4 linked regions of the Oreochromis niloticus genome follow. The protein of the gene in region 4 interacts with the protein of the main gene of each other region in a pairwise test. Links are inferred from orthologs where the notes say so. Each region holds a gene or a part of one and is shown on either strand. Other genes may lie near its edges. The genes, in order: rad51ap1, numb, ctsk and siah1.

Region 1 (7,952 bases), on a different chromosome or scaffold from region 4:
CACATGAAATTTAATGATCTTTTTAAAGAACAAATCATACCTTTACTGACAGGAGACTGGTCCTTCACTTCCTCTACATTATTGAGCATGGAAAGCGTGATGGCTGCTTCGAGATCCCTCTCATACAGCTTTTCGTCCAGTGGCTTTCTGCACAAATGAATCAAGATTCAATCCATGTTAGAGATTTTCACCTATGAGCATTTCTAATGAATAAAACTGATAAAAATGTAAAAGAAAAGACTACTTTTCGGTGACATTTTTTAAAATTTAACTCAGCATAATCAACATTTTGTTTTGATTTAGCGATTATCCCCACTGATTAGCCAGTCATCATTTTATCAATGACTTTGAATGGCTTTACTATTCAACCACCTTAATGAGTTAAAGCATCACAGCGAGGCTTTAACCCAAACATTTATCCGCAGTCTGCAGTATATTCTTTAAAAGTGACTGCTTACCTTCAAGCTGACTGCACACCCAGTGCAGCTCTCGGTCTACACTAACAGTGATGAAATCAAAGTTATAATTTCCACTGCTTATCTCCTAAGCTTAGCTACTCATCTCAACAAAATATGAACCCATTTTGAAAATCTATTAATGCACTGGTGCTAGACCCAAGTATTACTTTTGGACTGGTATTTCTTTACATATCATATCTACACCTACAACAAAAGACCAAAAATCTGTGAGTTTAATCCTTTTAATCATCATGTGGTGCAATATTGTCATCACTAGGGCCACAATGACTGAGATTAAAATAAGAAAATGTTCAAATTCATTAGTGAATGTGGACAGTCACCTCAAATCGCCTTGAGGTGACTGTTGTTGTGATTTGGCGCTATATAAATAAAACTGAATTGAATTGAATTTCAAACCACAAGACCAGTGTTTCCCAAAGTGTGGCCTGCAGCCCCCTGGTGGGCCTTGAAGGTAGTGCAGGTGAGCCACAAGAATCTGACCTAAATACTACGTTATTCTTAAATGTTGGGCCCATTTTGGATCTTGGATGCATCTTATAGTTCATTGGTAGTGAGCAAAAACTATACTAGTGTCAGCAGCTGTAACTTCAGAGGATCAACTAAAAGGAAACACTGCACTGCACACATTTACAGTACTGTGCGTGTGTCTATTTGTTAAGATATTTGCCTACTGACAGTAACCAATGCAAATGAACTCCTATACATGACCACTTCATGCTGCTCAAGGTGGATGACACTGTGCATCAACCAAATGCTGACGAGTTGAGAAGTGTGCCAAAACAGGGAAAGGAGCGACAAAGGAACACAAAAAAAGAAAAGCAAAGGTACAAGATGAAAAGTAAAGACAGTGGCTGCAGTGGACACTTGATTATTTTTAATGCTCGGCTTCACTTCAGCTCTTTTGTGCTTTAGAACTACATTCTTAGCGGATGGCGGATGAACCTAGGGCAGCACAAGCAAGAGTAACCCACAGAGTGGTGGCACCACTGCCCCCTGCAGGTAGATAGGTAACCTGTAGCTGCCTATGGATAGCTAACGGACTGAAACATAACTTCCCCACATTGCAGGACATACACAAGTGGTGCGCCCTCTGCTGGAAACAAACTAAACAACAGTAAAACTGGTAACATTTATTCACAACAGGTTTCATGAGCCCTCTAGCCTGATTGTCACAGCCAGTGTCAGATTAACTCGCCACCTACCTGTTCTTCTGGCTCGATTGTGAGGTGGCCTCTTGACTGGAGGACTTGCTTAATGATTTCTTCTGTTCTTCTTTCACATCCTCCCTGACCTTTTTGCTGGGTGGGGCCTTCACACAGGCAAAATCCTCATCTGTCACAAAATGAGGACAAATGACAAAGATACCACTGTTAAGACTGGAAAGTGAGTCCTTTGGATTACACATGTGCACCCTATTGTACTACAGGTTTTCCTGGAATTTAAGAGTCTTCTGCAAAGCAACAGTATCTAATAGCACGTTTTTTGTTGCAATGTCCTTTTCCTGATCACACCACTTTGTTTTGCACGAAGTGACACCACTGCAGTGAGTGCGATTTATCAAGTTAACACAAGACATCTAAAGTAAATAAAATGTAAAGATCACTGTAAAATTTCCAACAGATCCGTCATAAAGATGTTAATATTTCTGTGCTCATCAATACACCCACTGGCACAGCGTGTGGATGTCTCACCTTTTCAAAATAAAACAAAAAAAACAAAAAACAGAAAGAAAGATGGTCTTCCGTGTGGAAAAACCTCATTCTGAATACTTAAGATCAACCTGTTATTATAACATTTAAATACTTCACTTAAGGTGGGGCCCACCACCTTTTCACTCTGTTGCCCACAACATACATACATACATACATACATACATTTCTTTGTGTATTTTACCTTCCTTCCTTCCTTCCCTTATATATATATATATATATATATATATATATATATATATATATATATATATATATATATATACACACACACACACACACTCACACTCACACATTTAGCCTTTATCATAAAGCAAGTCAGTAGAACTTGCATAAAGTTTTTAATTTATTTATTTAAATTTGTATGCAGTTCTACTTTCAGTTGCTCCCTTTAGGCGTCTCCACAGCAGATCTGCCCCATCTCACACTATTCCCAGCATCCTCCTCTGTCACACCAACCCTATGCATGTCAGCCTTCACTACATCCACGCATCGCCTCTGTAAGACTATAAAATGATGACATGACATGACATGCTATGCTATGCTATTTCTTCATCACACTGTGGATCAAATGGGCCAGGATAACAGATTTTTAATTTAACTCACCATCATCGAAGTCCTTGCTCTCACAGTAATTCACAGTCTTTGTCTTCCTGTGTGTCAACAATTAAAAAAAACAAAAAAATAAATTAAAAAACATTTTTTTAGCATCACCACAGATCTAGTTTACCAGGCATAGACAAAAGCAGTAGCTCACCTAGATGGTCGGTCCATAGCTCGCTTTTTAGTCAGCTAACAATAACCGCATTGACACGGCTAATCAGCACTACTCCCTCCAGCTGAGTGAAGTCGACCAAACTTTGACTTTCGATCTCCACACGATTACAAAAAAGTTAAGGTGTCACTTATCGTGAATGAGATCCGTAAACTATATAACTTTAGTTACACAAGCTTAACGTGAGGTACGTCGGTCCCCCAAGCTCTCAAACAGCCCGCCTGAACAGACCAGAAGTGACGTCAGTTGTTTACCAATCTGACGGAAACTGCAAGCAGATTCGTTTATTTCTAAACAAAGCAAAAGAATACAGAAGAAGAGTCCGTTTGTGGCAGCCCGTTTTAATCTTTAAAATCAGAAATAATCAGAGAGCAATAGATAATTTTCTGTTTTTCTTTTTAATTCGTTTTTTAAGGTGTCGAATCTGCTTCTCTCAAATAGCTTGGCGCAGCTTTGCTAATTTCGCCCGGCTAACAATAATAAATGGCTTGGTACTGTGCAAAAATCTTGTGCCGCCCCATTTTTTATCTATAGTTTGATATGAAAATGTGAATGGATACAGCAGTTTATTAAAACGTGTGTAAATGCCGTATATAAGGCAAAAACAGAGTTTGAAAGTCAATATTTGGTATGAGCACCTTTATTCAACATAGCCTGAACTTTCTTGGACAACCTTTCTTGTTTATTCTTCGGGAATAGTTCTCCAGGCTTTGTGAAGGACATTCAGACCTCTTCTTTGGATGTTGGCTGTCTTTCGTTGGTCCCACTCTGTTTCAGTAATGTTTCAGTCCGAGCTCTGGGATATGAAAAGCCAGGACCTTTCTATCTAGGTAAGATCGGGATTATTGCCATACTGCAACATTAAGCTGTTGCCAATCAGATGCATTTCAGATGATATTGCAAAATCTGACGGTACTTTTCTGCAGTTATAAGTACATCAATTTTGACAAGATCCCCAACAGGTTGAAATGCAGCCCTAAAACCATTACAGCCTCCACTGTGTTTTATGGATGGTTGTAGATGCTCACTGTTGGACACTCTCTTAACCTCCTGACAACAGCTCCAAAAATTTGAGCCAAAAATTTCAAATTGTATTCATCACTCAGTCAGACCTGTTGTCGCTGATTTTTACACCTTTTGAGGAGTGGAATTATGGATATATTAATTTACATTTTTTACTTTAAATGACCAAAGACTTGTCTTTTTTTCATATTTTGCTCTTCTAGATAATCTTTGTTTTTTGTATGTTTTTTCTTACAGGTGTGGCAGAAGTGATCCATTGCATTTCTCTGTTTGAGCTCTACCCTTTTTGTCACGGTTCTGGGGCGGTTCGACCCAGCATTCTGAGTTTATTATGTTTTGGTTTATTCTTGAATGATCGTTTTGCTACCTTTGTGATTTGTTGGTTATTATTTGAATTCTATGTTTCTGTTTATTCATGTTTAAGGATTTGTTCTTTGGTTGTGTCTCACGTTTAGTATAGTTCAGGTTCCATGTGCTATATTCTGTCTGCCTCTCAGTGTCGAGCCTGCGTCCTTGTGTAGTGTTTTCTTGTTCCCTGTTTTATTGTGAAGGTCTGCGTCTCATGTGAGTGTGTTCAGTTTACCTCCCTTGTCTCCTCTCGTTAATTACTCCCAGCTGTGTCCCCCACCTGTGTGTAATCTCCCTGTGTTTCTCTGAGTGTATTTAAGTCGTGTCTTCGGTTGTAGTAGCCGCTGGTCCGTCTGTGTATCTACCATGTTCTATTTGTGTGTTCTCCCTGCTGTCACCATCATATACCATCGTCTATCTTCCTTCATGTTCAGGTTCGTGTTCAGTAGTTAGTTGTTCCCAGTGTAGTTTAGTTCATTCTCCGTTTGCCGTTTGTCTATCTTTATTTTGTGTTCAATAAACCACCTTCACACCTTTACAAGTGCCTGCGTTTGGATCCTCCTTTATTATTTCCACACGGCTCATCTCACTCGCCGTGACAGTTTTATCATATTTTCTCCCCCTTTCTTTTTTTCTTTGCCTTTTTTCTCCTGCCTGTCAGCTTTGGCATTGTCATATTACTGTATATATGTTCTGTGATACCAGAAATAATAATAATAAGAAACAAATAAACAGATAAAAGAAATAAACAAAAGGAGCTATAGAGAAATTATAGAATTCATCTTAGGAAAGTGAACGTGTTTAGAACAACATCGCATTCAGGTCAAGACAAGCTTTTAAAAAAAGAAAAAAAATAAGACAAGTGCAAAAACAACTAGTCACTGCTAACATGCTCAAATGTATACACAAAAATTAGTCGTGAAAGACACCAGGACCCGGTGTTACTGTTTTCTTTAAAGAAAAACAAGCCCACAGTAGTACATAGAAGCTAACAGAGTAGAATCACTATCACCACATTATTGTGTGAGGGGCTCTTTATGCTGGTTTTTGCCAATTTCTTCATTGGCTGTTGCTGTTTGTCATAATTCTTAAATGATAAAAGAAGGATTTTGTGTATTTCCTTCTTTTTACAAGGTGGATCTTTGCTCTTGCATGTACATGACAGCTGATGCTGGGGAGTAACTCAAACTACAGTGAGTAATATAACAAATTACTTTCTACACAGAGTAAATAAAGAATCTAATCATATCTTTGGGAATGATTAATAGAAAGGAACTCAGAGACTGCAGTTGTGGTTCTATTGTGTAGTTGTTTACATATTTGCCTGACAAGTGAAAGATTGCAGGAGGAGACACAAATCCTTTGGGGATTGTTTCAGAAATAATATCTGGTTTAAAAGAAAAAGCCAAAATTCAATATGCGGGAACTAATCAAAGATTGTAGTTGTCCTCTAAGCCCAAGACTAAATGACCCAGGTTTACAGTAAATATAGTGACCTGGACTTTTCCATCAGTTTGTGTGAATTTTATAATCCAGTAGACAAACAGGCAAACAAAAGCCATATTTTCACCCAGAAAAAGAAGTCTTAGGTTAACCTTTTTCTTTTTCAGTGCACTTGCAACAATTTGGAGAATTCACTGACAGAGAGCTGACAAACGTCTTTTTTTTTTTTTTTACAAATCATTTAGACAAGAAACTGCTTCAGTCTAGTCCGGGGTTAATGCAGAAGATCAGCTCTTAGTTAAGCAAAAGTTTTAGGATCTGAAACTTTAGCTTTTGAGACTTTGGGATGTAACATATGCTACCTGCCACCTCATGTCTTACTTCCCTTAATATGCCAAATTAGTCTAAAGTAGTTATTCATTCCACACCTACAGTACCAGGCTGCCAAACCTAAGTTTGCACAAGTGCAGATGTAGGTGTGTGCGGGGGACTAGAATGAAGAAACAAACATCACTTACTTAAAAATATATGTGGGTAATATCTTTAAAATGGTCTAAAAAAAGTGTTTTTAAACTGTCAACTGTGCTAAATATATTTCAGATCATAAACATCTCTCTGGAAACTTGTGGTTTCTGGACTGCATCTTAGCCATCATCTTGTATGAAAGTTAACTTTGAGGAGGCATTTCTGCTTCTTTATTTGCAGGCAGTGACAGTATCAGTCGTGTCAGACAAGTTACCAGCAGGTGGCAGCATAATGCCTTCTGGTTCACAGAGGTACAGACTCTGACTGGCTGATTGACATGAACCTGACACGTCCTCAGCTACTCAGTCGCCCACACTCAGGGCGGAAGCAATCACGGCTCCCTCTAAAGTGCAGTGAAAGTAAAATCACTCCATTTTTACTGCACTTTCAAGAGAAGAGCAGCTGCCCCGAGGGTTGTCATTTTCTAGTTTGTGAGTGGGTGGCTGTCGGCTGCGGTTTGTCACACAGTGGACCTTGAGGAACAACCAGGGATGTGATGGTCCACTCCTTTGGACCCAGACAAGGGAGGAGAACATGCATCCACGGGGCCAAAAGGCCCTGTGGTCACGCATTCCTAAACTCCTCCAGCACTGCCTACAGCCACGACTAAAATATCAGATCCAGTCATGCAAACACTGCGGTCACAACATAACGCTTCCATTCACACATATATACATGCTTATATTGTATTTATTCCAGCGCTACAAATGACAGGTTGAGCACACCCCTGCATTCTCTTAAAATGCCGAAGTTAATCCTGAAACGACAGTCGCGTTTCTCTGGCACTTCTCCACATATACATCCGTTTATAACTGTAGGAAATGTTTAGAATATATGCTGCTACAGTTAAAATTACCATGTCTCCAATCCTATATGTTCCCAAACAAAGTCACATGACCACTAAAGAGGGAAAGACTGTTACATAAACTAAAGTAAAAGTAGAAATATCCTGTTAGTGAGTTTAGTGGCAGTTACATGGGTTTATATTGTTAAGCTGTGTGATGATAATTTGTCTTTAAAAAAGGTAATACTGCACATTTCTGCATGTTTTAGTGGTGTACAGTCTGTGAATTAATCTCAAGGTTAAAATGTCAAAAATGTAAAACATAAAGATAATTATTTTGCATTTTAGACTGCAGTTATAGTCGCTCTAGTTCATAACAAACCCTGTAACAAAGCCCAAACTGAGTAACTGTTTTACAGCCGTTGGCTCTATGCATGAAAGACATGAGTAAAGAGGTCCAGAGGGACAAGGGAAATTTGGAGTAACTGTTTCTCTAATTTCCTTATGCAAATTAATCCTTGTTAGATTTAATTTGTGGATTATGTAACATATTTAACAAATACATAATGATTGTTTTTTTCTTTCTCTGGCAACACTAGGCAGCATTACTAGGCTATTTTGGAACAAGGCATCCAGTTGGGTTTACTAGCCTAGTTGGCATCTGTGAGGTCATCAGTGGTCTTAATTTCAGCTTGTTAGTTGGAAGTGGTCAGGAGGCAGTTTCCCCCCCCCTCAACCACTGATGTGAATGCCATCATTATGCGCTCTATAGCATCTCAGAGTGGTAGTTTGTGTGGGGCTCTCTGAGTCCTGCACCCATCCCCCTGTATGGTTGTTCCGCAGGCGGAGACTACAGTGTTGTTATT
Region 2 (7,455 bases), on a different chromosome or scaffold from region 4:
CTACATCATCAAAAGACCCACGCGTTTGGATAACATTGTCACGCCTGACGAAAAATCACTTGGAAGAGAATCGGGTTTGCAGGCATCTCGGTGAAGATGAGTTTACAAACCCTTTTTCTCGCATTCCCACGCAAGTCAGGTTTAATAAGTAAACATCTGAGCATTTCATTTAATGGCTGCATCACTTCCACCAAGAACTGGTGTTGACAAAAAGCACAGGATATGGATAACAACACTGAAACGGGCTCAGATGACACATACACATCACCCTGATCCAGACTGTTTGACGATAACATGAAAACAAAAAACATATCTGCCATATCAGTCATCTCTTAATGATCAAGGTAACGCTGGACTGAATGCTAAGCTGACAGTGACATTCACTCTAATTTCACCATGAGCAGCAAGAGGCTCAGCTATCACTCTCCTATCAGCATCCTATCAGGGTAAAGCTTTAGACTGCATCGTCATCATACGGCAACTTTATCTACCTGCAGTTGCATCACTACTCAGTATTCACATGTACAACTCACTGCCAAGTGTAGGCCCCGCCTTTGAGAAGAGAGCAAAATGCTGAGAGTTAAAGCTAGATTCTCCCACAGAGTGAATCACAGAGCTCAGGACGGAGACTTGCTCCTGCATTCTCCTCCTCTCCCAAACAGCTGACAGACTTACACAGTAGGTTCGGTGGCTGGTAGCCAATCTTGCCTCCCTCATCCTGTGAGATGAGCTAAGCCATCCCTTTCAAAATTTGGAGGAAAAAGAATCTCATCTCTCTCTGTTAGGGAAAAGCAGCAGTCCCCCAAAAAGAACACAAAATGAACACAAAATGAGCCTTTGGAGACTGCTACAAACATAACCACAAAAGGGTCTGTATAACCTCACCTTACAGAAGTCTGCATGTGTATTTTAAGGCTGAGTAATTTAGAGACCACTAGCAAAAAATATTGACAAAAATCACAGTCCTGGTGATTTTCCTTAGAGTGAAGGCTAAATTGTCTTTGATGGGCGCCAAAATGTTGTAAATGCAGAACAAACCCTGGATAAGAGCTGACATCAAAACAAACTGCATCTCTCTGGTCATTACTGTGCTACCACTAGGGATGAATAACAATAATGACTACTTCTCTTTCCTGTATTGCTTTTATAGTTCTTTGAGGATTTTTTACATATGGTAAATAGATTTAAGACTACCCTGTTTCTCTAGGAATTAATCCATTGATACATCCAGTTCAAAATCACAGCTAAAAATATACATTTGGCAGATCTTTTTTGATTGTTTTGCTTTTATTTTCTGCCCTAACATTCTTTTTCTAACCCTTATCTAACAGAAAGTCTACTGCTTCTTTCAGGTCTTTAACACACCATCATTAAACATTTAGCCTGTGCAAAACTGACATGACACAACAGATAACTATCCCCTGCCATCAGTAAATGTCATCTTCCCTGCAGATAGCCTGACAGCAGTCAACAGCTGATGTGCGAGCACTCCTAATGTCCTCCTCACTCACTTTAGTAGGTGCACCTGATCAACTACTCGTTAATGCAAACAAATGATCAGCCGATCACATGGCAGCAACTGGGAGAGCTGGTTGACAAGACCAAGTTCAAACTGAGCATCACAATGGGGAAGAAAGGTGAGGAGCACAACATTCAACATGTCCAACCTAACCAACCTATGAATCTGTGCCACAAAGAATTTCTGTTCTCAATGAAAAGGGGAGTCAAACCTGGTACTAGCAATACCTAATAAAAAGTACATAAACTGTATAGCACTTGACTACATCCCCCACTGCTCTGAGCACTCTGAAACCGAGTGCTAGTATTGTAAGCAGAATAAAATAAGCAATGCAGGACATATTTTGAACTCCTTCTTTTTTACTATAATCTGATATTTACAGTCAGAATAAGTGGATTTCAGCACCTCTCCTCGATCACCCAGAGGGTTGCGTCTGTGTTTTCCAAACAAAAACAAATAACTCATCCTGTGTATTATTTCTGGTCACAAATTACATCGCTGCTCCAATAATAAAATGCCTAATGACAGAATCCAAATAGAATTAGCGTCCAATAAACAGGATGTTTCAACCGTATGGTTGTGCTGCTGGGGCTATCACACAATCTATCATGTGGCTATCTTAGTACAGTCTCCACGTGGAAGGTAATCTGACCACTGATGGTTATCTGATCATGAATGGCGGACTTCTTGATCTCTCTTGCAAGAAAAGATCCACCTGCCATATAAGACGATCTTAGACACATTATCACACTTCAGAACATTCCGAGTGCTAAGACTCTGAGTCACAGTCTGTATCGTCATGGTGATCAACCTGTCTGGATGGATGAGTGTTAAGAAGACCCACCTTTATTGTGAATTAACACTTTTTGAGGGGGGCGGGGGGGAGAAACTTGCAAGTCACTAAACTGCCAAGCTACCGATGAATATCATTTGTAAGAATGGTATTACACAAGCGAACCGTGTGATAGGGTGTAAGTGAATGTCGTGACAAACCGTGTGCTAGGAGCAAGCTATCCGATGAGCTTAGGTCATTTTGCTGAATAACGTCCATCCCCCTAAAGTTATCCAGGTAACTTGAGAATCGTTAGCTACTTAACTAACGTTAGCCATACCTCTTAAACACCTTAGCTTATTCGGCAAGACAGAAGCAGATATTTTCCAACAGCAGATAAAGATGTTAGACAGCTTAACACCATCTATTTTGTTAGGTTAGCAAGAGAGCTAAATGCCGTGTTAATGGGAGCTGCCATAGCTCCGTGTGCCGCATCAGAGAGGCACAAGCTAGTGCTGCTTAGCTCGGTGAGCTAACAAGCTTCACCGGGCATGCTTACCAAAGTGCACACAGCCCACTTTCAGCCTACCTGCGATCACCGCTGCGACCCTCAAGATGCCCCGTGTATGCCGTCACCAGTGTATCACGAGCCGTGCCGTGCCAAAATAATTCAAATTCCACAGAAAGTGTCGGGAGAGACGCTCGCAGTCCAATCGCTTCAGCCACCGCCGCTGAATGGCTGCTACTCACAGCCTCAATCAAACTTCCTCCTTAGCAACGGACCGCCTCCGCGTGACCCCATTGGCCGGCGCGTGTACATCGAAGGTGATCGATGTTCGATAGTGCAACCTGGATCGAAGCTGAGTTTCACTCTTTACGCTGTTCGTCTTGTAGTCATTAAGAGAAGCAGGCGTGAAAGCACATTGTAAGACACCGCTTCAGTCTATCGGGTTTAGCTCCAATTAAGATGCACCTGTAAATATATAACTACTATAATCTGACCTGAAGAGTGTGTGATGGATTATTGTTACAATTAATAAGTTGCAAGCAACACTTTACTTTTCGTATTTTGTGACAGTGGGGCTGATTTCTATATAAGCAGGTATCAAATTGTATGCCTATGTTCTCATTAGGTTTTCTTGTATTTCATATATTAGTGCTATTTTCCTCTCAAATGTAGCAGGCTATGTAAGGCACCACTGCAAACGTTCAGTTGCGCCACTTTTAACGAGCACCTTCATTACAAATTCATTGTCTGGGTGATATGCAAATATAACCCTGTCAGTGAGGTCACTCCTGAAACGACAAAAAAATTAGGGCATCAGTGCAGTGCCATCCCGAGTTTCACCGCAATCATCCTTCCTGTGTAGGCCATCACGTTCTCACCACATAACAAAAACGAAGCACGTTTAAACGAGTGAAACGTGTTTCTTTTCATATACATCCAGTTAAAGGCTTCCTCCACTCCCTCTGTCTTCACTGACCCCTTGAAAAGGCCAGAAGTTTATCAGCATTAAGTTGCATTCCTCGCATACCTTTAAAGCCTTGTAAGCTGCAGTGTAACTTGTATTGTGTCCTCACAGGTTATGAAACCAACAAGGAGGCAAACAAAAAAAAAAAAACTTTGGTTCACAAAGTTGTCAAGCCTGTTATGCAGCCTTGTACAGTAACTTTATTAATCTTCACAGTGCCCCAGCAGTGACCTCCCAGTCTCCAACACGTTGTTACTGCCTCGATTTTTTCCCCTTAATTATCTTAACTCTTCGAGAGTCTTGTTTTATTTTATTTTTACATTCATTTTAATTTTGTATATCTATTATTTTTACCATGAGGTTCCATCTATGAAGAGACCAACGTTATAATGAAAAAAAGTTAGCATATTATGCCCCCTGGTGGTCACTTTGTGTGTGTGAGTAATGAGTGGTGGACGGTTTCAGTCATGTAGCCAGGAGTCTACACGTTTTCCCACTTACTGCGTTGCCTAATTAAAAAGATTATTTATGCACACATTGAAGCTAATCATGGCCCTTATTTTTAAAGGGAATACACTGCTAATTTCACACTGGCCCCAAGTAACAGAATAATCTATAGAAACTATCAGCATCTGAAGAACTCCATTTGATTTTTTTGCTTTATATTAAAGATATATATACTTTAAATAAATGTCTCAAATATAATGGACTTGAAAGTGGATCTGCAATGCTTTCTTTGTATATTTAAATGGATAATTTCAAATAATCTGGTTAGAGTATGTGAAAGTAATGCCTGTGAGCCAAAAGCTCACTCCGTTTCAGACTCACTTTAGTGTTTGTGATACCAAGGACAGGGGATAGTCTAAAAATGGTTATGTTAGGCACTGAGTCCAAACAACCACTGTTTAAACTTTATGTTTGAGTGGGGCAACCAATGATGAGAAAGAAGGCTTAAAGCGAGAGAAGCTAAACCAGTTGTTTGGCTACACAAAAGAATAAATGATTACTTTTAACTGTGAATCGTGTAAATCTACTCTAGTAGACACCAAGGCTTCAAATGAAGTTTGAAATGGCTACAATAAGCCCCATGTAATTATTCGGATATCCATTGTGAATTAGGATGCAAACATGTACAATGCAAAAAAGGATTTTTGCTGTTTTATAAAATGATGAAAACAGCGGTGATGGTGCAGTAATCCAGTTTATTATTCAAATGACTACAACAGCAATGTCTCCATTACCACATTTTATTTTTTCAAACAACATATAGAGAACTTTACACAAAACAAGCCATTACCTGCCTTAAATATTTACATAAAACCTTGTAGAGACAGAGGAAAAAAAACATTCTTTGGGTCTGACCATGCAAAAACAATAAATAATCTTCCTGACAGTGCTTCGCATGGTGGTTTCAAGACTGCCATTCAGCAATAACAATTAAAAAAATTTGTTTTCAGATTTTAGTTGACTGCACATAAAACTGCCCTGGTCCACACAGTCATCAGACATGCTTCAACAGCCCAAAAACCTCAAGACTCAGAGTGGGTCAAGTGCAAGTCAGCATATTAGCAACAGTACATTATGCACTCTTTCTTTACGGGTAATCTTCACTATTCCAGATTTAAGCAACATGTAGACCAGAATAGATACAGAAATGAAAAAGTGGGATGTGTGACAGTTTTCTGTGAAAAGCGTAGATTACTTAGAAGAACTAAAGCATCCTGGAAGGATGAAGCACTGTACACAGAAGACCTTAGATGTTTTGTTCAACAGGGTCTTAAAATGTTTTCAGCGCACTCTTGTCCCCAAGACACAATGAGCAGGAGCTAGAAGTTGACTTCAAGACAGTAGAGTTCCCACTACTTTTATCCTTCAGCAAGGCGACAAACAGTGTGCAGACGTGACACCCCAATTCCTTCTGCAGGCTGGGTCCAGAATCTGCTCCTCCCTCTCCCTCTTCCCATTCTCTGTGGCTCAGGTAATGACTTGTGGCTCCCAGGACTGGCTGGCCATCTGGGGGCGACACTGTAAAATGACTGGAGGTCCCATCGGGGTTTGACTGTCCAGGCAGAGGCCACTGACCATGTGCTGCAGAGCTGTGCCCTTTGGCTTCCACTTCTGCAAAGACCAAAAAAATAATTTCATGCTGGTTTGTTAACAGATGTTCGTGCACATTGACTCATTCCTGTTAATCCATGGCTCATAAATGATGTGCATCAGCACAGGAGGTTCATGTTAGTAGTGAGAAATGAACTGAGTCAGGGGTGGATTGCAGTAATCACATGAATGACTGACTTTCTGCACTCTCGGTGGAAAAATCATTGTACAGCCAGCTGCAGACCACGGCAGCCTGCCATCCCACGAGAGAAGAAACAATTTGTTTCTGCTGATAAGATGTCCTGTGTAGGGGCCATTTTCAGTCATGTGCATATACTGTGTAAAGTTATTTATTTTTATACCTCCGGAGACTTAAAGGGGCTTCAGATCTGGATATAGATTTGTGAAAAAGTGAACTTTTCTTTTTGCTTTCCTTCCCCCACCTTCACCATTCTTTGCCCTCAGATCACAAGGTGTCCTGAATCAATCTACATAATGAATCTAATCTTTAATCATAGATAACACAGACTCAATTTGTTACTGCATTTCTCAGAGCTAAAGATTAATTCAGAACATCTATTCTCATAAATAACTTAAAGTCCAGTAAAGAATCTGGCATTTCAACTACTTAATACTTTTCCTTGAATACATGTCATAGAGAATGACTACATTTACTCAGTTGCTTGTGGAGGAGGATTTTAAAAACATAATATGCAATATTATACCAATAAACTACCCAGTAAATTTGGATAAATTTACAGTTTATTCTTTTTGTACACGGTTACCTGATCTTTTTTTTAAAATTATAAGTATAATGCACAGTCATGTGAACCAAGTCTGAGCAGTTCAGCAATATTCCTTTTTCACTAAAACAGTTGCAAAGATGGTCATTCACTTTGTTCATTTCTTTTTTACAGATGCACTATTCTTGGAGTCAGTTTGCACTGTGACGTTTCAAAATAATCCTCATTTTTCTAATACTGGGCTTACAGCCCCTCACTTCATCCACTGTCTTAAACAAGCCATTTTAGCTACAAGGGAGGGGCTACTGGCTTACAAGCAGTGAGGATATACATCAACACTGACATAATACAAAGCCAGGTGTTGACTGATATTCCATAAATCGAATATTGTTTTCTACCATCACAGTGTGTAAAGCAAATCTGACAAGAAAGCTGAAAGGAAAGCCTGCCAGAAACACCTGTCCCTCGGGCAGGATGTCTGCAAATCACCAGGTATAACTGGTTCCTTTATTGGGTCACTGAGTAAGTACTCAGAGCTGAACTGAATGCCAAGTACAGATATCAAGAGCCACATGGAGGCTTATTAAAGTTTAGAGGTGAATGTGGGGTTAATCTTCAAATCCCAGAGAGAGCGCGTCTGTGTATGCACGTGTTATTACACTGTAACTACTAGAAGAGTGTGCTCAGTCAGAACTTTTGTTTAAGGAGGAAATAATATGTCACTGCGCCAATGCATCAATAAACAGGAGACTGTGTAATATGCAACTGACACCATTATTTTGTGATCGGTTGGCCAGAGAAACTCCAAGTATTTTATTACATTTATTCATTTTGTCCTTGGCTCTAAAACAG
Region 3 (7,912 bases), on a different chromosome or scaffold from region 4:
CTTCACAGCCAGGAACAGAAACAGAGTATAGGAAATCTTTTGCTTCAGAGAAAACGAGAAAGAGGAGTGGAGGACTTTCCTCTGTTAGAAATTTCTGGCTCTGGTGATATGACGCATAAAAAGCTAACGATAAAACTAATTTAGAAAATAGGCTAGGATTTTTTTGATTCATAAGATCATTAAATAATAATTTAAATACCCATAGCTGTTGAATTAGTCCTTTAAACTGAAAAGTGTTGAATTATACTAAACAAAAAAACTAAAATTTAAAGTCATTTTAAAGGAGGATCTAAACATCTACTGGTTATGGATGAGAAAGTTGGACTGACAGTAAATTGCATGTCCTGCTTCAGTTTAGCTTCTCTGTCTGTTTAATTTTCAGCCAAAACAAAGAAGAGGAGCAACCAATGCTGCCAGGTAAGGAGGTAAAATCAGCAACAGTTTATACATAACTGATCTGATCATATAAAACAAAGTGTGACTGAGGAAGAATATTTGACATGCTTCCCTGTTAATGTTGCTGATGTTTCCTTCTGTGACTCTGTGGCTTTACCTGATCTGCTGTTAGCATTTCTGCTAAAATAACTGAAATTGGTGGAGCTTCCTTAAAAAGGGCAGCTTAGCCTGCAGACTTACAGTAGCCTGTCTTGGGCTAAGATGTGGAACATGCTGTGTATAAATAAAATATGAGTCTTTGCCACATGTGTACGCAAATGTATTAAACTATGTAAATTATAAATAACTACATGTTGCTGGGACTGGATGAGGTTTTTCTTCTCATCTTTTTAAGACAAACATAGCGTTGTGCAGTCATGGAGCAAGTTAAGGAAAACCAATGATGTTTTGAAACAGCGATATGGACATTTGATGGGAAAGTGCATAAAATGGCTAATGTTCAATAGCAAATGTGCATATTTTTAATTTCATTATTTCATTTTAGAATTAATGTATTCACCAAAGGCTTCACCAATACTGCTCTCAGTTTTGTTTTCAGGTTTAGTGTTTTGTTTGTAGAAGTCCTCTTTCAGGAAAATCAGATTTAAAAATCAAACATCTGAGAAGCATCTGCTTTTTAAAAACAAAATTTTTATATTTCCTACCTTATGTTAAAGTTTTCTTTTGTGCTATTTCTATCTCTTAATTTTATCATTGATTTTAACTCTAAAACAATAGTAACACACACTCACCAAGCCATTGTATTCTCTCCTGTGTGTGCTCTTCCACTCTTCCCACTGGGCATCCAAAGAGGATTCATCAAAACGGCCCAGAGCCGAGGTAGCCAGCAACAGCACACACACAAGTGGCAACATCCTAAAAGAACAAAAAACACAAAAACCTTCACGTTTTTTTTTTATACCAAACCCAGAAATTTTTTTATTAACAAAGTTTTATTGTTTACATGTTTACAACATTATAATTAGGGTATGTGTATGCATATTAAATATCACAATGTTATCATAATCTCTTAAGGCCCATTTATGGGAGTCCAAGAGAGGAACTACAGTCAGAATTCCTGTTCAGTAACAGTTTACCATGTGAACTTCCTGGAGAGGCTCAGGTTTGAATCAGGTCACTTCTTCATTTATAACCTTCTTGTCTGCACTCGACTGTCATAAGGCTAAAAGCTAATATATATATATATATATCTACATCTATATGCATATATATATGCTTTCCTATAATCCAGTGAAAGCATTGTGCTTCTGCAGGGGTTTACTATCATGTGGTTGGTTTCATTATCTCAATCATGCCACAACGACAACAAGTTGCACTTCTTGGGAAACAAACCCCTATGCCATGTTTTGGTTTGAGACAGGAAACTCTCAGGATAATTTTTATCTGATTTTCAACAATTTTCACTTTCGTTTTCAGGGTCAGACCGGACAATGCTGGATATAGTTTGACAGCAAACATGTGAATAACAGCTACAGGATGAAGTCTCAAACACAACTGAACTCCACTGAAAAAATGTTTTCATTCTTGCTCTCATCAGTGATTCAAACATTTTAACTGTGGATTTTTTAAGTCCAGGCAGTGTGAAATTTTTTCTCTGCCTTTGTTTCTTGGGCTTTCTGAGTCCCCCTTGTATTTTAATACATTGTGCTTCTAATCTGCATTTGTGGGCTTTGTTTCCAGTAAAGGTCGCTGACCTTGGAGTTTCTCTTAACTAAGAGCAGAAAACAATGTTTCCTTTTGCTTTGTTTTCTTTTTCTCTTTGATTCTTGCTTCCTACACTCATGGATTATACACAGCATTGTTTCACCTTTGGGTGAAAATCCATGTTTTAAATAGTGCAATCCCATGATACATGCCAGTAATTCAGCATATGTGCACAATGCTGTGTATGAGTCACAAGACTTCTCCCTGTGGTAGCTTATGTTTTGAAAATAAATTTATATTTTGCATAAAACATTAGCATTCATGACTTTTTTCACATTCCCGGATGTGTTTTTTTTTTTTTTTTTTTTTTTTTTTTTTGCATTGGTATGTCAAACTTTCCAGAACTCAAACTGGCTGCCAGTAAATGTTGCATCTCCCTGCCTCCCTCTTCCAAGAATGAATCTATTAATGTGCATTTGGGTCAAAATTGTTCTGTAATCCTAATCTTTTTTAAGACTAATTACTTTCTTAGCTGCAGAAAAGTTATGCATATATTTGAACCTACATTTATGGAAAAATCTCTTTCAAAGTCTTGAAAATCAGTTCATGTAATTAAGTAAGAGCCATGTCTAAGTTCAGTTCAGCTGAGATGTTTTTACTTAAATAGTAAAATATCAGAAAGCTGCAGTTCTTTCAAACTGATTTAAAGTTTAAAACAATAAGGTTACAACACGCACAAAACAGCAAAAAAGACTCTGTGTGTTAAGAGTGTTGGGAGATCAGCAGTAAACAAACTTACCTGAAGTCCAAAAGTCAAAAAGCTCGGAGAATTCTTCTGAGTTTGACTTGGTCTTCCTCTGCTGCTGAAGTAGGTCAGTGGGCGAGTTTATATCGGCTGAATTTTGAGGAAGTACAATGGGAGCTCCAGGTCTGGGGAGGAGTTTTCTTCTAACATGGAGGGAAATTACATCTGGTTTCACTGAATAAACCGGATGATGTCAGGTGTCAGGTTACAGAGGCATGTCTGAAAACTCCACAGAGGATGTTGCACTGCTGCAGTCTGGGTTACTGCTTGAAGAACAACAGAGGTGCTTTGATTCTTGAACAAAGTACAAAGCATGGCCATGTATATAAATCAATGTTCTGCTATAAAAGGTAATCAGTGTTAGACTTATAAATAAAGGCCAAGTTCCAGGTCCTTTTTTTTTCAAAGTGACCTTTTAGTCTGCTTTCACGTTTACTCTAACTCATGAAGAAGAAGAAGAATGCTAGGTTAACATAGATAAATGGATGGGCCTCTGAGTGATTAATTATTGAGCAAAGACATTTTTATTCCAAAAGGAAGGAAAGAAGGAAGGATGCAGCAAAAAAGGCACATGGAAAAAAACAGTATGGTACAAGTGTGTACAATGTAATGGTTGTCAGTCAATAAACTGGGTCACACAGTTTGCACTAAAAATAATTTGACGGTGGGCACCAGCAGCGGCTGTTACAAGAAAACATGTCATCTCCTGCACTGCACATTTAGTACTGCTATTATTTATTTAGCATTTAGCATGATCATTATGAATATCACTGGAACCAAACCAACACGATAAGTCAAAATATTTGCAAAGTTTTTTTTTCAGGCCTGTTGCTGAAGATTTCCAGAGACCCTTCCAGTGCAATTTCTTTTGTTTCTTGTTATGCTGAAATTTTTTCATCAGAACATTGTCTCAGAACCTTCTGACACTTGGTGTGGAAAGGCTATAAAGGCTACTATATTCCACTGATTTTTTTGAAACAGTTATGCCTTTATTGAAGTAACGTCTTTAAAACAAACACTTTTATGTTCATTGTGTGTAACTGGAAAACTATTTCTCTACTTGAAGAATAAAAACCAAACGTGCTTATTTTAGATTTTAGATTAATTATACAAGAACACAGCATGTGAAACCTGATCATGAGTGGCAGCTTGCTAAAAAAAATTCCCACAGCAGAATCCAAATAGGTCTTTGCCATATTTGTATTTGCTCCAATTTCTGTCTTTTTGGTGGTACTTCCTCTTGCTGTTAGTCATGTGTGTATATACATGAATGTGTCTTATGACTCCTATACTCATACTGTTGTCTAGCACATATCTAGACAGTGAATTAAATATAGGAGCATCCCGTGCAGCTGAGATGTCCAGTGATACATGTCCACGTTGCTGCAAGTTAATCAGACGTATAATCATGTCTGCATGAACAATAAAACATTTTTCAATGGAGAAGCCTTGCTAACACAACTGCTAGCACTAATGTTATCACAACTGCTATTACAAGTGCAGTCTCTTCATACAGAATTATTCATAATACATCAATGATTATTCATGCATATCATTACATATCAGTCTATCATGTTTTTGTGATCTGGACAAATATACATTTATGCCACCTTGAATGTGAAACACACCAAGCGTTTTGCAGGCAGTGAAACTATAAGATGCTAACATGTCATATGATTGGGCCGACTGACATTGTGGTGCAGAGCTATGAACAATAAATGACTGGACTACCTTGTTTTGTTTTTATGTAAATTTAAATCTTTATTGGTTCCTTAATTCCCTCGTCAGTATTGGCTATTTAATGCAAGTCCTTGCTCTGTACAAAACAATGATCCAGCACAACGGGAAGCTTCAGCAATTTTAAGTAAATCAGACAAGTATGTATTATGCTCTCCTGCAGCACCGCAAGGAAACAAATAAAGGAAATTAAGATACCACTTTGATTTGTTTAAATCAGACTCCTGTTGTCTCATGTTAGCTTGAGCTTAATGTGATGCTGAAAAGAGACAATTTGTATGTAGAACCACGAGTGTGGATTTTGCTCCCCATAATTTATCTTGCCATTGCATTACAGAGGGATATCTTCAGGTGCTAAAAACACTATGAATGGTCATGAATCCATTTATACGATGGACAATGACAATAATTTTTCAATCAATATCTAACTAAAACACCTTTTTACACTAAATATTATTAAAATCTAATCTAAACTCATTGAACACTGGAAGTAAATGAAGTTTCCTCTTATTCTTTTTGCCACTCTAAGATGAAAACATCAAACTTGATGGCGAGCTAGACCTGAAGAACTAATATTATTGATAGCAGTAGATGAAGCCACAATTAAGCCACTACTAATACACAAAAATATGCTAAATGGCAAAACAAGGTCAAACAATTAAAAAAATAGACACATTATTGCCTTGTTATTACTCTTGTTATTACTCTTGTTAAAGTTACATGTCATTGTTAGATATCTAGCTAAAAGCTGCTGACAGTGGATTGCAAGTCCACAGCAGTGACACCCCTTAGTAATCCATTCTTATTTTAATATGCTTATTTATTTACTCATATTTTTTTGCATTATTTGGCCTGATTTTGATATACTATATATTATATATTTTAATCTTTCTTGATAGATTTGAAATATGACTTTTGGTTTAAATAAATATATTTTCCAAGATTTTTGTAGATGTTTGCGATGTTTAGCATCCTTTCCTTTTCTTTTTTTTTCTCCTTTCTAACATAAGTAGGTTCAGAGTTGTCCTCTGTTTTGTTTGAATTAATTATCAAGTGATATTATTATAACCAAAAGCAAAAGCAAGTTTTGAATTCATGACACGAGCATGTATTAGACAAAAAGCAAATGATCCAGAATCCTGCCTTGTGGGACTCGTAAGTTTTAAAAAAAGATTTTACATGACTGATTTTAACCTACTGGGACATTTTAGTTACAGGGAAGCCATGAATATCAAAAGCGAAAATTTAAATAAGCAGAGTTTGTTCAGCAGAATCCGACGATTTACAATTTCAAAGGCTTCATGAAAAAATCAATATGCAATCGGAGACGGTATCATACAGTGCACAAATGCAGCTATCGCTCTCTCCTTTGCTGCTTCAGTTCTCCTCAAGGTCAAGAACAATCTTGGGTGCTGTGCTAAGATTCCTGTTGTGTTAAGATCTCTAGTGTGTTAAGTGCAGTGCAGGCAAGCAGCTCTAGGCAATGGCTTTCATCACTGACTGCTCACTATCTAACTGATCGATATTTTTGTATCGAAACATCTGCTCACTGGATTTCACCAGGCTGGAGAGTGCATCTTAAGCCTTTGTGAGACTCTTCATTCAAAGGTTCCTCTTTGGCTCTTTAGATAATGAGACTCATGAACGGGGCGGTATTTTGATTGATCCACCATGCAGCACTCAACCCCCATCTTAGCATCAAGGAGCATACCATCATGCAGCAGGTCATGACCTGTGTATAAATGTATGTGTTTGAGTAGATTGATTTATACAGGTATTCCTTACTAAAATGGTTACCTAGCAGTCAGTATAGCTCTGTTTTTTCCTCTTGAGTGCTAAAACAATCTATTAATATCTCCACATGGGGCTGATGCTGAGAATGCTTTTCTGCATTTATGACTTTTTCTCATGTGACCACTTGGCAGCCATTTTTTGTTCTAGTCTGACTCTTTGTTTTGAACAGTGAAAAGTACTCTGAGGCCCAGCTCAGCAGTAAATTCCTCTTGTCTTCTTTTTTTTCTTCTCCTATTAGGTCACATCTGTTTCCCATCTCAGCACATACTCACAACCCACCGCAAAACTGGAAACAGCTTAGCTCCCAGAATCCTCTGCAACTCATATGATCCTGACTCACACCATCACGGGATAGGGTTGGGTTTTGCCATTACAAAAACTGAACTGGCTCTGTAATAGCAAGAAATAGCCTTACATCACAGTGTTTAGGTACTGCAGAGTAAGCTGAGTGACATCTCATTTTCTATATGCATGTATATGGCTCTCAGAGGAGAGATTATATGCCCCTAATGCTGTTACTTGTTGAAATCCATTGCATTTGAGCACCATAGAAAATCAGGCTTCATTCAGATTCTTTTCCCCTGGCAATCTAGTGAGAAAGCCCAAGAGGCTTTAAATTCTCATCTGAACTGTGTGCACTTTTCATTGACCAGTTCAGAGATTAGTGCCGCAGACACCAAAGAGGTTTTAAAGGCTTGTTTTGATTCCAACAGATTAGACGGTGTTGTCTTTTTTCATTCCAAGCTCAAATTGTTTATAGTGGAAAAAAAAACCATTACGTGTATACTGAGTTGTTGTTGTCTGAGCCATGCATGTCCTGATTTCTCTATGAAAATACGAGTGTCTGTGTTTTACATTAAAAATGAAGAGGAGATATTTGTCATGCCCTAAAAGCTGCCATTCAGTTTTGCTGTATAATTCTGTCTAGAAATAAGAGTAGTGGCCTGAAACCAGGTGCATCTTTGTGTTACTGCTACTATTCTTCTAGAATTGTCAAATCTGTCTAAGGTATTTCTGAAAATTTGTTTCTGATGGATTTTCAGCACCTAGAGTGAAGCCAAGACTTCAGGAAGTTACTGCTCCTGGTCACAAAATAAAATCTTTTCATACTTACATTTTTAGAATTCCTTAATTAGTAAATTCGTAAATATTAAAGCTGTTGGTCTGCATGTTTTGCTACTTGTGACTGTATGAAAGCTCCCTGCTATAATAGTCCCCATTTTTGTTTCTGAATTTGATCCATTTTTTTAATGTAAATTAGGCTTTTTATGTCACCAAGAACAGAGATGAGTGTGACTCTTCTGATCAGAAGAGTCACATACTGGCGACTATAATAATAGGAATAATTTTCCAAGAGTGTTAAATCAAATTTCCTGTATTACATGCTGCAAATGAAAGAAGCCAATATGTTTCAGCACAATCTGTATAGCTCATGCAACACACTGAAAGATAATAGCAAAGTAATAGTGGGAACAA
Region 4 (8,170 bases):
AGCATGAAAGCAAAATGAGGTCTGCACATACTTATGTCATTTGGGAAACACTGCAAGTAAAAGTACTGAGGTAAGGCAGTCAGCAGCAATTGACCTTTCAAGTATACTGAGTGCAGGAATGTGCTGGCAAACATACCTGGGAGGGTTACCTGAGGAAAGTCTGTGGGAAACTAGAATTCACAGTGAAGATATGTTTAACCATCAGAACAAGCAGTATGTGCCCCTACAACATTGCCCGTGAGCACACATACGTGGTTACGTTATCCTCAGTTCAGAAGTCAAATACAAAAGACTGTCCCTAAAGACAACTGGCAGAATTAAAAAGGAAATTCCTTCTTATGTCGAGCTGAAGCTGAGGGTTACACACAACGACAGTCATCATCATGTTTGATTACCAAACGTATTGTGGTGGAAACCTGGCACTGTCGTGTCTAAGATGATGAGTACAGTAAAACAAAGCACCAGCATCTGAGAATTTTCTGAGCCAACAAGCAGAACCCTCGCCGGGTAAGCTAACACAATAAGCTGCAGGTTGTTTCCTTGGTCATCAAAAAACAAAAACAAAAAAAAAAAAAAAATCCCATAGAGTTTGTAGTCTTTTTCCTTAACAAGCGCGTGTGCATGCAAGGCAGGAGGGATTGGCCACACATCCACTTCTGTCACCGTTTTAACAATGGCTGGTTGCTGCATAGTGGTCAGATGGTTCAGACATTTCCTGCCTTTAACTCCAAGTGCTATTCCACTGAGAGCAAATACTGCATTAGAGATTTGATAAAAGAAATATTTAACAATATTTTACATTGGTCAGAATAAACAAACCCATTCCAGATGTAACCTCTTAAATACAGTCTGTAAAATGAAAGATGAAAAAGCAAGCTTTTATTTTCTTGCATTTTAATGAGCTTTAGGATTTCACAAGGATGAGTCTTTCTATCAGTGACATAAATCCTTTCATCTTGGCATCTGTCAGCTTTCATCCACATATAAAAACCACCCTGGGGCTACACTACCAAGTGACTAAGCCTCTCTGAAAGCTATGGAAAACCATTGGGTCAAAACAAGTTCATCTCTACTGCTGCATTACATACAACCAACACTTAGCTGTGGCAATCAGCAGAAACCAAGACTGATCGTACATACATGTGTACATGCTGTATTTCTTTTCCCTCCCAAATGCAGTTAGACTGACTAAAGACACGTTATAGCTGGACAAACTTTATCAACCAGTTAAAACAGCTGAGTGCATACATATGGGTGTGTAAGGTCTCTGAAAGAAAAAGGTTCACTCTGATTTTGTGGTCTGCAGCAAAATAAGCAAAATTTCAGTGTGTAAAAAAGTGTTTTTAAGGTACAATGCAGAACTTGTACCTAACCTAACCTCTAAATGCAGCCCAATAACTGGTTTTCAAGGAGAGGGGAGATTAATTATAGTGAACTAAAATCAACCACATCCTAAAAGAAGATATTTAAATACAATTTGCAATTATTAAAACCTGTATTGCAATTCCAAATACTAACAGGCAATGGAACAGACTCCCACCTCCCAATCAACACCTGCATCTCTCATGTTTATAACATGCTGAAAAGACCATATTTTTCCGACTGCAGGGCAGATCATGTACTTCCAATAATTTGCATCTCAAGATAATGAGACCCTACACCTGACCAGACTGACATCTGCCGTGTAATCTTACTGTAAAATCTCAAATACTGTTTCAAGCATGACACACAAGTCCAGCACTTCGGAGGCTGGAGGTCTGTGTTTAGAGAGTATTTAATTTGTCAAAAGCTGAAAGAATTAAACAGCCACATTGTTTTTTTTGTAATACAATCCCAGAGTTTTACAACTTGTGCATCCCTTTGTCTAGGTTCATTTAATTTGTAAATTTATTTTCGTTTTATTTCGTCTTACTCTGTGAGGAGCTATGGACTCCGAGTCTGTATGCAAAGTGCTACATAAACAGTGGTATGGCTTTATTATTTTATTGACCTCGGCTTAGATCCATCCAGCCTGAGCAGAGGTATTGTAAAGTAGGGTAACAACTGTGATCAATATGGAGGTTTGCTTTTTTAATACAACTTCAGCGAAAGGTCATATTGTAATACCACTGTGCATCTGTCCCCAGCCTAATTCATAACTCATCTACAGGTGTCCACGTCAAGGACTACGTGATCCGCTCAACAACTGCTCGTTGAATGCAAACTGCAGTGAACATGTAACAACGGCGATTAGAGCCCTTTAATAATCAATAACGACCAGGAGCTGACATTAGTCTTATAATAGACAAGTCAAACACGCCGACTCCGACTGTAACCTTTACTTGGAGTAAACATTAGTCATCACTTCCTCTACAGCCGTTATGCCAGCAACAGTGCTACACAAAACAATGCCACGACGAGTTTCTGTTGACCTGGTCTAACCTACTTTGAAAGCAAAATGGCCTTGTCTTTGCAAGGCAGACAACGGCGTATCCTAGCAAACAGTTTCCTGTGTGCAAGACGAGGCACACAGGCCTCGTCTTGCCGTAAAGCAGTATCCCACAGCTTACTAGCTAGCTTAGTCGGTGAGTTTGTTAGCTTAGCTGGTGTGTGAACATGCTAAGAAGCGGTACCCTTCCATTTTTCCCCACTCACACCAGTTAGTAAACGTTAACAACAACGTTTAGTCGCTACGCATGTCAACCCGTTAACCACTGCAGGCAAGAGGCGTTTAAAAGATCAGCAAACAAGCCGGACAGTAGGCTAGCTACCCGCCAGCATTATTAGCACTGCGCTAACGAAGGAAGCTAGCGTCTGCTACAACGGGGCTGTTGTTTTCACCGACACACACGCCACTCGAAAATCTGATGTTTCACTCTCTGCGGCACACCCGCTTACCTCGAAAGAACTGTCCTTCAGTTCACCACGGAGAAACAGGTGAATGTGTGGCACCAGGACAGACACAGGATCCCTCTCTGTCGTCGTTCTCTCGTTTGCTCGATGTACACATTGGCACAGCTCCTGGAACAGAGACGAGACGGCAGGCGTTAAGTACCAGCCGCTCCAGAGCGCGCACAGTTAAGTTTGCCACGGGAGCGCGCCTTGCACGAATTGCAGGTTGCTCTAAATGGTTCAATTTTATAATAAAAACAATAATACGAAAATAAATATACGCATATATGAATGCATCCCACACAATTTACTTCATATCTTTTAAAGCTATTTCACACTGTAAAATGAAAATATTCTCACCGTTCACAACGAGTATCAACGCATGCTCACACTTGTACTCCTTAAAATCAAGGCTCGTCTAGCAGGTTCTCATCTTAGTTTCACTTCATTATACTATTCGCCTGCATCTTGTATCTGTACTGAATTTGATCTCTTGCCTCTCCGCTATAATGTAAGTGAAGGAAACTGCACATATGCTTAAACCAACAAGTCCCACAGATAAATCCTTAGAAATTGGACATTTAAATCAGCAGTTTTAATGAAAAAAAAAAATAACAACGGGTTTTAAAAAGAGACTTTGGACAGGTATAGCAGAGATTGAGGTCAGTATTGATGCTGGACACATGTAACTGGCTGGGATTAAGATTTAGAGGTCATGTTGTTTCTTTCATAGCAATCTGGACATAAGGAAAGCCATCACCATGCCCCCCCACCCCCCCCACACACACACACACACACAGCCACCTACCATCAGGAGGGATGAGGGGTAGGAGGGGGAGCTAAATAGTAGTGTGAGGTGGGGGTGGGAGGAGCTGCTGCACAGACTGGGATTACAGAGAATGATTGGTTATGTAAGTGCGTTGTCCCAGTAGGCAAGCTGCAGCAGGAGCAAACAGAAGGCTGAGAGACACTCAGACAGCAAGAAAAGTAAGAGAAAGAGCAGACTTTTGTAAATAATCCTGCTGTCCTCCTGTGAACAGTGGCTGTAAGCCTTCTACTGTAACCGGGCAGCGTGCAACACATTTTCTTTGTAAATATATGAAGTACACCATCATTGCATGCACAGCAGACACAACTTCTCACATTTACGGTATCACACATGCATTTAAATATGACACCTTACTTTGGACACATATACATCACATGCACACTTCTTCTCTAAACAAAAACCACAAAAGAGTATCTCTGCTCAGTTCTCAGTTACTGTAGAAACAGAACTCAAGAGAAAATACGGAGTACTGGAGAAATATAAAGAGGGTATGACATTTTTATAAAGAGACAATAAAAGACAGTGGGATGTCAAATGTCTGAATTTGGTCAATTATGAGGATGTCCCTTTTTTCATCATTTAGCTAGGAAAAAAACGATCTACCAATTGTGAATGCATTGGAGACACTCATTAAGCCCACTTCTTTATATTAATTTGAGGAATAGAGCAAGCAAATAAAAAGGAATGAAACTACAGAGAGAGCACCAAGGAGAATGTGGGAGAGGGGCTGGGGAGGAAGACAAGAGGAAGTGGGGCGATCCAAACCAATGAGAATGTTAAGCTGTGCTGGTATGCTAGAGGAATTTGAATTTCTTGGTCGGACATAACGACATGCACAGTTTTTTTTCTTTAGCAAAGTGAGAATGAGAAAAGATTGGAGGGAAGACTCTGAAAAGAAATGTGGAAGGAAGAGATAGTTTGAAGAGGAGAGGGGAGGCAGAAAATAGAGTTTGAGAGAAAGGGAGGAAGGAAGTTGTGAGACAAGGATAATGAATGTAATGCAAATGGGAGAAGAGTATGGAGACAGAGGATGGGAAGGGAGGGGTATGTGGGAAAGGGGGGAGTGTTAAAAGAAACGAGGGAGAGGAAATGGGTGAGTGAGAGCTGGCAGAATCATCAGCACATTCCAGACATAATGCTGTTTGGCAGTAGATTGTTATGCTGAAATCAAAGCAAGCTAGTAGCTGTGCATTGGCCAAGATCCTCTCCGAAAACTTGTTTGCTGCTGAGTGGAAGCCCAGTCAAGTGGAAAACCTTGACCGGGCTGGAGTTAAACTCCCATCCTCTAAATTCCAGCTCATGTTGACTGACTGGAATGAGCGAACTAGAAAGTGCAAATACATTGCATAGACTGGAAGCACGGATGGTGTTTGAAGCATTGTCTCTTTGATGCTGCTGCTACTCTCATGCCACCTGTGGTGCAAGAACTTTCTCTCTTATGTTTGTCTGAAGATTTAATTGTTTACAATATACCTTCCATGCCTGCTTGTCTAGTTAAACCACTGAAAGGACATCTGGGAGAAATACACGTATTTACTGGCTTGGCAGGACTTGGATAAGAAGATTAATACCACTCTTATGTCTGTATGGTAAACGTGAAGGGGTGGTGGTTAGAGGTGATGTTGCTTCACAGCAAGGGCATTATAGGATTTAATCTGCCAGCCAGGTGGGGCCTTCCTGTGTTGGAGTTTGCATGTACTCCCTGTGAAAGGACTCGGGTTTCCTCCCACAATCCATAGGCATACATGTTAGGTTGAGCGGTGATACAAAATTGGGCATAGATATGGATCATAGTGTAAATGAGTGTAAAATGTCGAGCTAACAGCAGGCAAAAGTTAGCTGAATGTCAAAGGTTAATGTAAAACAAATTTGTGTGAAATTAATTCCCTTTTATTTTTTATTTTTCTTCAGTTTTCTTTAATTGTGATTTGTGAAATGTTTCATGTAGACAGTCATGTTTACTAATATTAAACTTAAGTATAAGTTATAAAAAATCCTCATGAGCTAAAAAAGTCAGACTTCAAACTGCTCGAAACTCAATTTCAGGTAGTTTTTTTTTTTTTACTCTCAGCTCTGTATGATGTCTTTACAAGAGGATAGACTTAATTTGGCCATGTCAGGCACACACCTCTGCAGCCCCTCACCATCCCAACCCATGTGCTGGTTAAACTTTGTGGATTTGCAAAAGTTCAAAATGTATCATAAGAAATGGATGTTGCATGTGTATTGATAAGTGAACTGTGACACAGTGAAAGTGCATACAAGTTGTCTTAAGCCAAGAAGCTTTAAGAAATTCAGTGTCATATCACTGAACATCACGAATTTCATGTCAACAGTTCACCAGCCGCTGCAGTCATGAATCTGGTGGCTAGCAAATAGCTTTACAGTGGATTAATGTCATTATTAGTGTGAATGCTTGTAAAAGCATTCACAGTATTGTTGTTGTAATCTTTATTAGTGTGAATGCTTGTAAAAGCATTCACAGTATTGTTGTTGTAATCTTTATTAGTGTGAATGCTTGTAAAAGCATTCACAGTATTGTTGTTGTAATCTTTATTAGTGTGAATGCTTGTAAAAGCATTCACAGTATTGTTCTTCTAATCTTTATTCTATTTTATTATAGATTCCGTACGTTTTTTGTACTGTATCTCCTTCAAAACCGTTCAACTTAGAAAAACCATTCAAACACCGTTAGATTCCTCTTCTTTAGGACATGACTGCTTCTACTTTTCTCATTTTTAACATTTATATTTTTAAAATTATTTAACTTTTTTCAACAAAAATTTCCCATGTATTTCAATGGGGAGACCCTTCAAATTCTTCTTCAACTCACTCCTCTTTAAACTGTATCTACTTCCACATACGTTGACATAGGACCACCATTCAAACTTTAAAACGAAGCCAAGACATTCAACTATTCAACTTCTATTCATCTTTTCAATATCTATTATACTTTATCTTCAGTTCCAGTTTAAGTTTCATGATGTTTTTTCACCCGTTTCAGAGTTTATAATGGGTGTGTATGGGACGGAATGTTGGGGCTAGAGTGAGACAGCTCAACTGCCAGAGTGAGAGGAGCAAAAAAATTAATCCTAAAATCTTTTTTAAAACTGCTGCTGTGTCCGCAGCGTTTGCTCTACAGGTCTGATTTTACCCTCAAAACGTAGCCATCGCTGTCCTCTTTCATCCAATGTGTTTACTATTGTACTAGGTGTTATGGTTCTTTCATAAATGTCACCAAAGCACAGCCTCCTCCCTCCAACTCCTCCATAGACTCTAATGTTAAAATGGCTCAGAAGGTTCGTTTGAAAATCAGAAGAGCATGGTGTCTTTACACTGTCACCACGTCCATATAATAAACTCCACAGGCATGAAAACTGAGAATTAGGTAGACTGGACATTGCTGCCGCTCACGGTGAAAGAATTTCGTCAATAGGACCTGTACTTTTAATTTGGGAAGGATTTGTTTCGGCCTGACTTTTCTGTTCATTTTAAGCAGCAAAAGTGAGGTGCATGTCTGTGTGCGTGTGTACTGAGCCATTGGGTGCAGTCACTATAGCAACCAGGCTCACACCTGCCTGCCTAACGAGCTCTGTCTCTCACTGTGCCAAGATTCATCTTAAACACTTGTCTTTCAACTGCTGCTGTGTCCACAGTGTTTGCTCTACAGCCATCATTTTACCCTCAAAACGAAGCCATCGTTGTTCTCTTTCCAACAGCAAGTCTTTCAAAGCTCAGAGATGTAAACCTTTAAAACTGTGTGGATCCAAGTGGAGGGATTACACTTTAGTCATTCAGTGATTCAAAGAATATGACCTTTTAATATTCATTCAGATGTTTTCTGACTCTAAATTTTCTGTTCTCATTTCTTAGGTTTTCGAAATTTTAATTTAAAAACTTTTCAGCTATTTTCCAACTTCTTCTGTGTGAACATCAGCTTTCAAAAGTTCTGCACTTTTGTTTTCAGGTTAAAAACTCTGCATTTTCCAGCTCATTCAACATTATTATTTTTTAACTTAAAATTCAGCAATTAATTCATTTCAGTGCATACATTCAGATTCAAGCATTCACACTGCAGTTTCTTCAGAAAATGCACTTTCTAGTTATTATTATTATTATTATTATATCATATTCCGTACGTTTTTGTGCATCTATCTCCTTCAAAACCGTTCAACTTAGAAAAACCATTCAAACACCATTAGATTCCTCTTCTTTTGGACAAGTGTGCTTGTATTTTTCTCATTTATAACATTTATATTTTTAAAATTATTCAACTTTTTTCAGCAAAAATTTCCCATGTATTTCAATGGGGAGACCCTTCAAATTCTCCTTCAACTTACTCCTCTTTAAACTGTATGTACTTCCAGATACGTTGACATAGATCCACCATTCAAACTTTAAAACGAAGACAAGACATTCAACTATTCAACTTGTATTTATCTTTTCAATATCTATTATACTTTTTCTTCA

Evidence for each region.
Region 1: the proteins of siah1 (region 4) and rad51ap1 interact in binary tests that used the Homo sapiens proteins (3 or more experiments, as listed by UniProt). The two-hybrid records come from large-scale screens. The link is inferred for Oreochromis niloticus from reciprocal best matches to the Homo sapiens genes SIAH1 and RAD51AP1.
Region 2: the proteins of siah1 (region 4) and numb interact in a two-hybrid assay, tested with the Homo sapiens proteins (2 studies listed by BioGRID and IntAct). The link is inferred for Oreochromis niloticus from reciprocal best matches to the Homo sapiens genes SIAH1 and NUMB.
Region 3: the proteins of siah1 (region 4) and ctsk interact in a two-hybrid assay, tested with the Homo sapiens proteins (2 studies listed by BioGRID). The link is inferred for Oreochromis niloticus from reciprocal best matches to the Homo sapiens genes SIAH1 and CTSK.

What each region holds. Positions count from the first base shown.
Region 1 is NC_031981.2:14,194,213-14,202,164, forward strand, and holds the start of rad51ap1 (RAD51-associated protein 1), read right to left. Parts: upstream 3,230-7,952; 5' UTR 2,963-3,229; coding exon 2,946-2,962; intron 2,842-2,945; coding exon 2,795-2,841; intron 1,812-2,794; coding exon 1,682-1,811; intron 148-1,681; coding exon 41-147; intron 1-40. UniProt on the Homo sapiens protein: Structure-specific DNA-binding protein involved in DNA repair by promoting RAD51-mediated homologous recombination.
Region 2 is NC_031983.2:21,447,813-21,455,267, reverse strand, and holds the start of numb (protein numb homolog), read right to left. Parts: upstream 3,032-7,455; 5' UTR 2,881-3,031; intron 1-2,880. Other genes in the region: galnt16 (polypeptide N-acetylgalactosaminyltransferase 16), read right to left, coding at 5,738-5,881. UniProt on the Homo sapiens protein: Regulates clathrin-mediated receptor endocytosis. Plays a role in the process of neurogenesis.
Region 3 is NC_031976.2:31,037,982-31,045,893, reverse strand, and holds the start of ctsk (cathepsin K), read right to left. Parts: upstream 3,061-7,912; 5' UTR 2,900-3,060; intron 1,312-2,899; 5' UTR 1,311-1,311; coding exon 1,188-1,310; intron 1-1,187. UniProt on the Homo sapiens protein: Thiol protease involved in osteoclastic bone resorption and may participate partially in the disorder of bone remodeling. Displays potent endoprotease activity against fibrinogen at acid pH. May play an important role in extracellular matrix degradation.
Region 4 is NC_031972.2:63,381,602-63,389,771, reverse strand, and holds the start of siah1 (E3 ubiquitin-protein ligase Siah1), read right to left. Parts: upstream 3,056-8,170; 5' UTR 2,878-3,055; intron 1-2,877. UniProt on the Homo sapiens protein: E3 ubiquitin-protein ligase that mediates ubiquitination and subsequent proteasomal degradation of target proteins.